2 linked regions of the Caenorhabditis elegans genome follow. The protein of the gene in region 1 purifies or fractionates together with the protein of each later gene. This does not show direct contact. Each region holds a gene or a part of one and is shown in the gene's direction. Other genes may lie near its edges.

Region 1 (5,346 bases):
AATCTGTAACTTTCACGGGGTTCTCATTGAATTTTTCGCGCTCCATTAACAACCTGCCGGACAACGCGTGGGAAAGTGTCGTGTACTCCACACGGACAAATAAATTTAGTTTCACAACTAAAATCGAGCCGCGACGCGACACGCAACACGCCGTAAATCTACCCCAAATATGGCCGAGCCAAAATGGCCTAGTTCGGCAAAAACTCTTCCATTTCAATTTGGGAAGCCTGAAACCCGTGTAGAGTTTAAAGAATCAATAATTCGAAAATTCGAAAAGTCAATTAGTTAAATTTTTCGGAAAATCGATATTTAACTTCTAAATTTTTTCCAAAAATTGACAAGCAATTTAGTGAAAAATCTGTAACTTTTGAATAAATAAATAGAGTAGAGTATGTACGTACGTCCAAAATATTCGATAAATCGGATATTTTGAAGTTTCCGGAAATTATCGATTTTTAAAACTAAAAATCAAATAATGGCTACGGTTTCTAAAAAAATAAAGATTTTTCCTCCGAAAAAAACCTGTTTTTTTCTAGAATTTTTTCTCCAAAAATAGCAATGATACCCCCGGGGGGTCCCCGGGAATTGTCGAAAATATCATCTCGTGTGCAAAATGCTTCTTTTTCTTCTTTGCTCTCCCCCCACCAGTCAGTCAATCATTTCTTGTCCGTATCTCCAGCAGTGTCATCATTTCAAAACATATTACACAAACTTTTTCCCCCTACTATTATTATTATTATTATTATTACTACTATCATGTCATTGCCGCCGAGTTGCCGAAAAGGCGTCAAGCATTATTTTATGCCTCTTTATTCTTCTACTTCTTTTTCTTCCTCTATCTGTTTTTTTTCCTTTATTTCTTTTTTTTCGGCGCGCGCCACAGCAAATTTATTGTACTGGTTTTTGAGAGAATGATATGATTGTTACGATACACTCTCTGATGTCTGATGACTTCACACTTTATCATTTGAAGCTTCTGAAAGAGCGACTCTAAAATCAATTTCTCTTCTTCAAACTTGCGCGTAGGGTTTGGTGTTTTGAAGTCTGATCTACTGAGATTTATAATATTTTATATAAATAATTTTCCATGGAACTGAGAATTTTGAAAACCCGGAAAACTTTTTTTAACAGTAAAAATTTCAGCGAAAACTACGAATTTTAGGATCCACAGAAATCGAAATTCCGGGGATTTAAATTCCGGGAATTTGGATTCCGTAGAACCAGGAGATTTCTTGGTGTTTCCTAGAGTTTTCTGTAAATTTTCACAAAAACAACATTACGTTATGTTATTTACAAAAAATTAGAACTAAAAACTCCGAGTATCTCGATCCACGGAAACCAGAATACCTGGAATTTTAATTCCGCGGATTTGGAAACCAGAGACTTTTATACTTTTTACAGTAAAAAGTAGAGTTTATCCCAGCTTTTCACGTTTTTTGCGAAATCAAACAGAAAATACTTTGCAATTTTAGTCCCGGGAATTTATATTCCGTAGATTTGAAACCCCGAGATTTTGTTATTTTCTATTGTGAAATTAAAACACACAAAATTTACAATACCACGTGGTGCCAGAGTGTCCCATTTCGGTTTGATCTACCTAGATCTACAAAAAATGCGGGAATTTATCAACTGATTTTGCATAGTTAAAGACGTGCTGAGTGACGTCACATTTTTTTGAGCAAAAAATTCCCGCATTTTTTGTAGATCAAACCAAAAATGGGACAGCCTGTGACTACGTGATTTTGCCCTTATGGTTCAACACCCTGCAGATCTCAATGCCTTTTATTGATCAAAACTTTAATATTATATTTATTCTTTATGTATTTTCTTTTCCACTCTTCTAAATCTCCACACCATTAACATTCTCTCTCAGCTGATCCAATTCCCTCTTCTTCTTCCATCAACTAGACTCATTTCCTCCCGCATTCCTCCACATGTCTGTCTTTTCTTTTGCATTCATTTTTCGTCATTTTCACCTTACATTTTATAATTTTTTGCTTTGAAAACTTTAAAAACGATATTTAAAACAAGATAGGCTTTCAGTAAATGCGTCAAAATGTCAGATGACGTCAATAGCTCTGCAACTTCTACTTCTTCTTCAACCGTACACTTTGACGATACGCCGTTCGAAGATGTCTACGAAATTGAAACAGAACTTGGAAGGTTCGTTTTTTGTTGTTTCATTTTCTGCCTGTTCACCCGGATCCAAATGCGAAATTAGTTGCAATATAACAACATTCCGCTTCATTCTTTACAACATTGCCCCTTTGTTTATTGCAAGGAAGCAGAGACAAAGAATGTGAATGTGTTTAATTCTCCCGTTCTTCTCTCAGGAAATGAAGGGACATTAAGTGGTTAAAAATTTGCGCGTAAGATTTGATGTATTTGCTGTGCCAGTACACGGTTTGATCTACAAAAAAATGCGGGAAATGTTTCGCCCAAAAAATGTTTCGAATTTGAATTTGAATTAGGCGCCGAATTTTTTGTTTTTGGAAAATCTGAGATTTGAAATTTGGCGCCAAAATTTTCGAAGAAATTTTTTCGTGAAAAAATTTCAAAAACAATACATTGAATTTAGCGGTAAAATTCGAAAATTTTATTTTAAATCTAGTGCCAAAATTTTTTTGGAAAATTTTAATCTGAAAATTTGAATTTCACGTCAACTTTTCTGAACAACTTGGCACGTGGTGTCAGGCTGTCCCATCACGGTTTGATCTACAAAAAATGCGGGAATTTTGTGCCCAAAAAAATGTGACGTCAGCACATTCTTAACCATACGAAATCAGTCTAAAATCCCGCAATTTTGTAGATCTACGTAGATTAAGCCGAAATGGGACACTCTGGCACCTTGTGGCATTGTAAATTTTGTGTGTTTTTAATGCGGAAATTTGCATAAAAATATGACATTTCGGGTTTCAAATCTACGGAATGTAGATTCCCGGGATTAAAATTGAGAAGTATTTTCTGTTTGATTTTTACAAAAAATAGTGAAAAGCTGGGATAAACTCTACTTTTTACAGTAAAAAATATGAAAGTCTCGGGTTTCCAAATACGCGGAATTCAAATTTCAGGTATTCTGGTTTCCGTAGATCGAGATTCTCGGAGTTTTCAGTTCGAATTTTGTGTACATAACGTGAGAAATGCTGTTTTTGTGAAAATTTACAGAAAACTTTCTCAAGTAAAAAAATCTCCTAGATTCCGTGGATTCCTAGTACAAAATCCACGGAATCTAAATCCCCGGAATTTTCGATTTTTTCCGCATTTTTTGTAGATCTACGTAGATCAGGCCGAAGTGAGACACTCTGAGACCACGTGTCAGTCTCTCAAATTTTAGAAGTCGGCGACGACCTAGCTTTCTAAAATGTTGCTCTTTGAATCAACACCCACGCTCACCCAGTTTATTTTTGCAGCGGACAATTCGCGGTAGTCCGACGGGTCCGAGATCGAAAAACCGGTGAAAAATATGCAGCAAAGTTTATCAAAAAGCGGCGATACGCAACATCTCGTCGTGGAGTCACTAGGCAGAATATCGAAAGAGAAGTTCGAGTGCTACAGAAGATTCGTGGAAATTCGAATGTGGTGGAGCTTCATGCAGTTTATGAAACTGCCAGTGATGTTATCATTGTTCTTGAGTTGTGAGTTTTTGAAAGGTTTAAGATTTAAGTTTTAAAAATTAGTTGAGAAAATGTTTCAATAAATGTGTTTTAATTTTTGCTCAACTTTGGCGGCTCATAACTCGGTTCTTCTTAAATTTAGCACAAATTGATTGTTAAAAAAATGTTTATCACATATTTCTCAAAAATGTTGTAGTGAAACACTTATTAGCATATCGTATATAAAGCAAAGTGTACGCTGCCAAAAGTCAATGAGAAAAGTGGAACATGGTGCATCGACGTGTTTCTACACTTTAATAGCTTATACCTCATTTTTTTGGATATATCAAAAACTTATCAACTAATAACGTGTTTATTACCTAAATTTCTACAATTTTGTAGTTGAAATTTTTTTGATATCTTTAAAACAACCCGAGTTATGAGCTGCTAAAGTAATCTATTTTTTTGTATTTCTACTTAATGTTTGGCAGCTCGTATCTACGTTAGTTTCGACGTTATCAAAAATTACTCAATTAACAAAATATTGCTCACACAAAATTGTATAACACTATAGTTAAACATGTTTTGATATCTCCAACATACGCTGAGTTATACGCTTTCAAAAACATGGTGCATTGACTCCGAGGTGTGAGTTATTAAAGTAGAGGCTGACTTAGAAATTACTTTTCAATTTTTTGAAAAATGTATTCTAAGGTTTTAATATGGTTCTAATCATAAAAAATTTCAGAGTATCCGGCGGCGAACTATTCGACCACGTCTGTGCAAAAGAATGCCTTGATGAAGTTGAAGCAGCAGCGTTTATCAAGCAAATCCTTCTTGCCGTACGACACCTTCACTCCCTCCATATCGTTCATTTGGATATAAAACCAGAAAATGTCATGTTAAAACAACGCGGCGATTCGCAGATCAAAATCATCGATTTCGGGTTGTCAAGAGAAATTGAGCCGGGAGCAGTGGTAAAGGATATGGTCGGAACGCCAGAGTTCGTGGCTCCAGAGGTTGTCAACTATGAAGCCTTGTCACCGGCGACTGATATGTGGGCCGTGGGAGTTGTGACATATATTTTGTAAGTTTAGATAGCTAGTGTCACCCAACTTTGACTATATCTCTAATCAATTAGGAATTATAAAAAAAATCAAAAAATATTTAGTTCATGTTTAGCAGCTCCTATCTCGGCCAATTTCGAAGGGATTGAAAACTTTTTAACTACAAACTTATAAAAAAAACAAATACAGAATATTTTGACATTAATAATTTTCTTACAAGTCAACTGACTACCGAGATATGAGCTCTCAAAGCTTAATGCGGTAGGCCCTGTTGATGCACATGTGCAAAAATAGTTTAGAAGCTCGTATCTCTGCCAATTTTAATAATATCAAAAGATATTCAACGACAAAAATATAGAATAATAGGTAAACATATTTTGTTAGTGGGCCACTTTTTTGATAAAGTCAAAGGCGATCTAGATAAATTTTAAGTTTCAGTCGTCTTAGTAATCATTATTAAAAATGTACTCACAAGATGTCGGCTGCTTTATTACCTGCCATGATTTCAGTGAATTATTCAAACATGTAAAAACATATAGACCTCATCACGGGCTATACTTTACCAGTTAAAAATTTTCCGATAGCATTTCTAGTTTTAGAATTTTACTTATTTGAAAAAATGAAAAAATCATTGAAAAAAACTAAAAGTGGATAACAACGTGACGTGCGGTAGGCCCTGTCGATGC
Region 2 (5,425 bases), on another chromosome or scaffold:
AATTTATTTTATTGAAATTTTTACAGTTCACAAAAATACAAGTTATGAATTTATTTAATTTTCAGAGAGTTTCCTTCACTAATCTTGTTTCTGACAGTTTTAGATTTTATTTTCTTAATTTTTAAACTCGAAACAGTTTTTATTCCCAACTTTCTGTTGGAAGTTGAATATATCGGTGTATGCCAATGAAAAATATTCTGAAAAATTAAAAACTATAATCAAAATTTGAGCTGCTAAACTTGTCGTGCAAAACTGGTTTTTTAATGAGGTCCTCAAAAACATAATTGTAAATTTTTCTCATTGAGCTTCTATCAGGTTGTCCCATAAGTTTTTGTACTTTTTTTCAAATATTTTTCCAAAACTTCTAGAAAGTTTTAAAATTTTTTCATCGTAGGTCGTGTCAAGGTCGGGTCGTCCCCTTTCAGAAAAGATTCATTTCATCCATTTCTACTTTGCCACGATGACAATCATCAAACTTGAACGTCGAGACGTTAGATTGCTTCTTCTTTATGAATTTCGTCTTGGTCATTCAGCAATGGAAGCGGAACGAAACATATGCGGTGCGATGGGTGAGGGAGCACTCTCTTATAATACAGCAAAGAGTTGGTTTCAAAAGTTCAAGAACGGCGACTTCAGTCTCGAAGAAATAGAACGTTCTGGGCGACCGGTAGAGTTAAATGAAGAAGACCTAGTGAAGCTGGTGGAGGAAGAGCCTCGTCTTAGTCTTCGTGAAATGGAAGAGAAGCTTGAGTGTTGTCATAGCACAATTGCACGTCACTTGGGTCGCCTTGGTTTTACTTCAAAACTTGGAATTTGGGTGCCTCATGAACTTTCGGCATCACAGAAGCTCACTCGGGTCAACGTTTGTACTCAACTTCTAACTTTTCGTCGAAAGTTCGATTGGCTGAACAATCTGGTTACTGGAGATGAGAAGTGGGTGCTCTATGTTAACCATTCCAGAAAACGTCAATGGCTTCCGATCGGTGAGAAAGGAATACCGACGCCAAAGCCTGATCTTCACCCAAAAAAGATTATGATCTGTGTCTGGTGGGGTGTTCAAGGACCCGTGCACTGGGAATTGTTGCCAACTAATAAAACTATCACTGCTGATTACTATTGTGCCCAATTGGACCGAGTTGCAGAAAAGACCAACGGAAAATATGAAAAACTATATTTTCTTCACGATAATGCTAGGCCTCATGTCGCCAAGAAGACTTTCCAAAAGCTGCATGATCTTGGTTGGACTGTTTTACCGCATCCACCATATTCTCCAGATCTTGCACCAACCGACTACCATTTGTTCTTGTCTCTCAGTGACTACATGCGCGACAAGCAATTCGACGACGAAGAGCATCTCAAAACTGAACTCTCCACTTTCTTCTCATCGCGTTCGCCGGATTTCTTCTCCCGTGGCATCATGATGTTACCTAGTAAATGGCAACAAGTGGTGGACACTAATGGTGAATACTTGTGTGAATAGTACTACTTGTCGCTTGAGAGAAATAAATTTTTTTCAAAAAAAAAATAGTACAAAAACTTATGGGACAACCTGATACTTCGAAAAACTATGACAAAATATTTCCACCTGCCCACCGATTTAAAAAACCTCGGAGAACACCGCAGCAAGCTCCAATCTAATTATAATTAAGGCAAAATCAATACGAAACCGTGAATAATACCTCTTCATGTGTAGAAAAAACCTTCTGCGTCTCTTGCTCCTCTCCTACATTCTCCCTCTATCTCGACCACCGCCAGTTGAGGGAGGGAGGCGAAACGGTCAGCAGCAGCCAGCAGCAGTCATCTTTTGCTGTGTTGTATGTGTGTGTGTGTGTGTGTGTGTGTGTGTGTGTGTGTGTGCCCCAGTCGTTTCCTTTTCCTTTCTCTTCTCTCGTTTTCTTGTTCTTCGTCGCCTCCACCATCCCGAACCCAGGGCCGACAAGTGAGATGCGGCGAGGGCACCCCCCAACCACGAGCCCTCGGCGGGTTTCTCTCGGCCATTGTTAACCCCGGCCCCCGTCCGTCCTCATCCTATGCAAAGCAGTGAAGTGGTGGTGGTCTCATTCGCAAACCCCCAAACCACCAAACAACACATTATTATGCCCAACACCACACAAAGTTCGAATTTTTCCTGCCCTTTTCGGTATATAAAATAGGTTACACTTTAAAAAAATCTGAAAAAAAGAGTTTCTTCCTCAAAACTTCCCTTTGCGACTCTACTTCTTTTCCCTCTCTCTTGTTTAACCACTTGTGTTTGTTGTGAAATCGAAGTCGCATATCCTCTATCTTGTTCCATTTTTTCGTTTTTTACACTGCTACTTGTAACGTTTCTTTTGTTTCAGAAACCCAGGGGTCCTTGCAATGGACTTCCCTTTGCCGGCTCTGCTTGCAATAGAGGATTATGATGAAAATGAGGTTTGTGGGCATTTTTAAATAGTAAAAAAATTTAAACTTATTAAAAATACTAATCGAGTAAAATAAATCAATAAAAAATAAGACTTACCCCAAAAGGTATCGAGGTCTAGATAATGAAAATGGTAATTCAACCAAAACATTTAGTTAAACTAATTTTTTAAGATTTGAAAAACACTCTTTCTAAACCTAAAGTTGAAAAAAAGATTGCTGGAATTTTTTAAATGTTAAACACTGACATTTTTTTTTGAATACTCTGAATTTTTTCAATTTAAATTGTACTTTTTTTCCTTCACCCCGTTTATCCAACTCAGCGAAACGCAGACCTAAAAATGCAATGCCCAAAACTTTTTGAAGAATTCTGTCAGAGGCAATGCATTTTTAGCAGTGTCCTCTGCCGGGCAATAGAATACGAAATGAAACATCACCCCGCAACAAGTGCACCAAAAAGAAATGCGAATAGGATGATAAAATTGATGGAATTTCAGGGTAAACTAGCTGCATCGATTCGATGGTTAATTTCACGGGTTTACGAAGAAAAACGAGATATGCCGGATAAATTAAGGGACGGAGTGCAGAGGGATGAAAATGTAAGTTTTTATTTGACTCGTGCTTAAATTTAAAAAAAACTAATAAATTCAAATTTGAAAACCACAATTTTCAAATTTTTCATCAGAAATATTATTATTTCTAATTAACTGCTGAAATTCCAAATTGAATAGCTTTTGAAAATAACTTTTTAGAAGCTGCTTAACTATCAGAAATCTTAGTTTTTCTGTAACGAAACAAAAAAAAGTATCCCAATATCTCCAAAACCAAAATTCCACAACAACCTCATCAATTATTCAGGGACACTTTCAAATTGACGAAGCCGTCGTCGGAGCCCTGTGCAATGGTTCGTTGTACGCACAAGCTGCTGCTAAGATATTCAAGGAGTCAGCGCTAGTTACTGTGAGTTTGTTCGAGGATGAGCAGCTTGTTCACTATTAATTTAAAATTCAGAAAGGCCATGGAGCAGTTCTCGCGGTGCTGACCGATTATGGAATCGATGTATTGCACGACGGAAATGAATTGGTGGAGGAGGCGCAGCTGGTTGCTTCGGCTCCTTTTAATATGGTAAGGCTTTTTATGATTAAAAACATAATTTTTTGTTCTGAAGACTTTGAATGCACTTTCTATTTTAGGGAGCTGCCAAAGGGTACGAGAAAATTTTTTTAATTTTCCAAAAATATAGTTTTGTTTAGCGGTGTTTGAAAACCTACGGAATTGATCATTTTGTTTTATTTGACATGAAAATAAGTTAGTTATGCATTGGAAATTTTGAAAGTACCTCAAAAAGTTCCTTAAAAAGTTTAAAACTGCCAAAATCTTACTTGACAAGTCACAAATTTCAGGTAGTTTTGAAGATTTTTTTCATATCTTTCAGCATAAGTACGTGCTGTTCTGAAATAGATTGAACTTTTTTAAACATAATTTTCAAACACTTTTTGTCCAAATTAAAAAAATGGAAGGATATACACAAGTACCGTTTTTCATTACAAATTTTTAAGATTCTTTAAATGGTACACAAAATTACACAGTCTACTTCTGAAAATGGTATTGAAAAATTGCAAAAAAATTTAATTTCAGTCTGCACACCTTGCAATAATTGATGCTCTTATGATGGCACACCTTCGAGATGTTATCCCAGTCAGTCGGGTGGTTGAAGCAGTAAGGTTGGTTAATTTTATCAAACTCAAACTCTTGCGTTGAAGCTGTTAATGACTATAACAAAAACACGTGAGACAGAATTTTCAAAAAAAAAAAAATCATGCTTTCGATTTGATGCTAAATTCACATATTTTCAGTAACTCTGCTATTTAGGTTTCTTAAAATTTTAGCACACCCACCTTTTCAAAAAATTCCCCAGCAGTTAAATTGATGCTATCAAAAACTAACCAGTTTAATGGAATTTATTTTCTTATTTATCGCAACAAAACTTCCTCATTCCACTTTCCCTTATTCCAGCCGTCACACAGCTGTGGAGCCCAGCGAAAAGCCCATCGACAGTGTGGATGCTCTACTTTTCTGGATAAATAAAATATGTCTTCTAGTTAGAGACGATGTAGAACGGGAGGATTCGAACACGAATATTCCGGAAATGGAGGATTTGTACGAGGATATTTCAGATGGGCAGTGTTTGTGTGCTCTATTGCATTGGTACAGACCGCATGAAATGCCTGTAGCTGGTGAGTTTTTCTCTCTCTTAAGATTAGGACCATGACTTTTAGGTTTGAGACACTTTAAGCTTGACAATTTTTGAGTACAACATATTCAGTTAAATTTGGTCGACAATTAAGTGATAACTTCAATATAAGCCCAAGGCGACACTCAAATCTATCCACTACAAACTAATTTTAAAATGAAATATTTCAGATATTTCGTTCAACGATTCAGCGACCACAAGAGACTGCCAATATAACTTAATGTTGTTACAGTAAGTCACCTCATTTTGTGTGTCACTTCACACCCTCTTTCCCCATTTCCAGACTATTCTGCCGACACCACCTCGCAGTTGACCCATTCCACTTCGAGATCGAAGATCTGCTGTACCTGCGTGACTCACTACAAATGAATGTGAACGCCTTCCTTGCTGACCTATTCGTTCAATTCGAACCGCCAGTTACACCAGAACCAGGTAATTACTTCAACCTATCTCACTCTTCCACCATTACTGAAAAATGATGATTCTAGTTGAAACACCACGCATCGGACCTTCTCCTCGACGCTTCGTGCCGGCATCTGCAATTCCTGACCTTAGAGCTGCAAATGCGGCGGCGAGAAGTTCAATGCACAATAGGAATCGACCAAGAATGTATAATCCACCTCCAGCTGTTTCACATTCTCAAGGCCCGTCGAGATCAGTGAGCAGAATGAGCCAGGACAGTTTATTTTATTCTCGTCCAGCATCGATTGCACTACAGAGGAGGAGCATGGATCAAGATTCTGTGACCGATTTTCAAACCATTCGGCAGGT

The links. Proteins that work in one complex are often made in the same cells at the same time.
Region 2: the proteins of dapk-1 (region 1) and ptrn-1 purify together in Caenorhabditis elegans (affinity purification with western blotting, with the first as the bait; one study listed by BioGRID). This does not show direct contact.

What each region holds. Positions count from the first base shown.
Region 1 is NC_003279.8:1,303,519-1,308,864, forward strand, and holds the start of dapk-1 (Death-associated protein kinase dapk-1), read left to right. Parts: upstream 1-2,043; 5' UTR 2,044-2,056; coding exon 2,057-2,163; intron 2,164-3,410; coding exon 3,411-3,635; intron 3,636-3,961; exon of another isoform or gene 3,962-4,106; intron 4,107-4,341; coding exon 4,342-4,680; intron 4,681-5,346. UniProt on the Caenorhabditis elegans protein: Negative regulator of epidermal barrier repair and innate immune responses to wounding.
Region 2 is NC_003284.9:17,027,134-17,032,558, reverse strand, and holds the start of ptrn-1 (Patronin (microtubule-binding protein) homolog), read left to right. Parts: upstream 1-2,358; coding exon 2,359-2,412; intron 2,413-2,897; coding exon 2,898-2,999; intron 3,000-3,258; coding exon 3,259-3,360; intron 3,361-3,411; coding exon 3,412-3,525; intron 3,526-4,038; coding exon 4,039-4,124; intron 4,125-4,416; coding exon 4,417-4,637; intron 4,638-4,824; coding exon 4,825-4,885; intron 4,886-4,937; coding exon 4,938-5,086; intron 5,087-5,142; coding exon 5,143-5,423; intron 5,424-5,425. UniProt on the Caenorhabditis elegans protein: Required for microtubule stability and anchorage by binding to the minus ends of microtubules.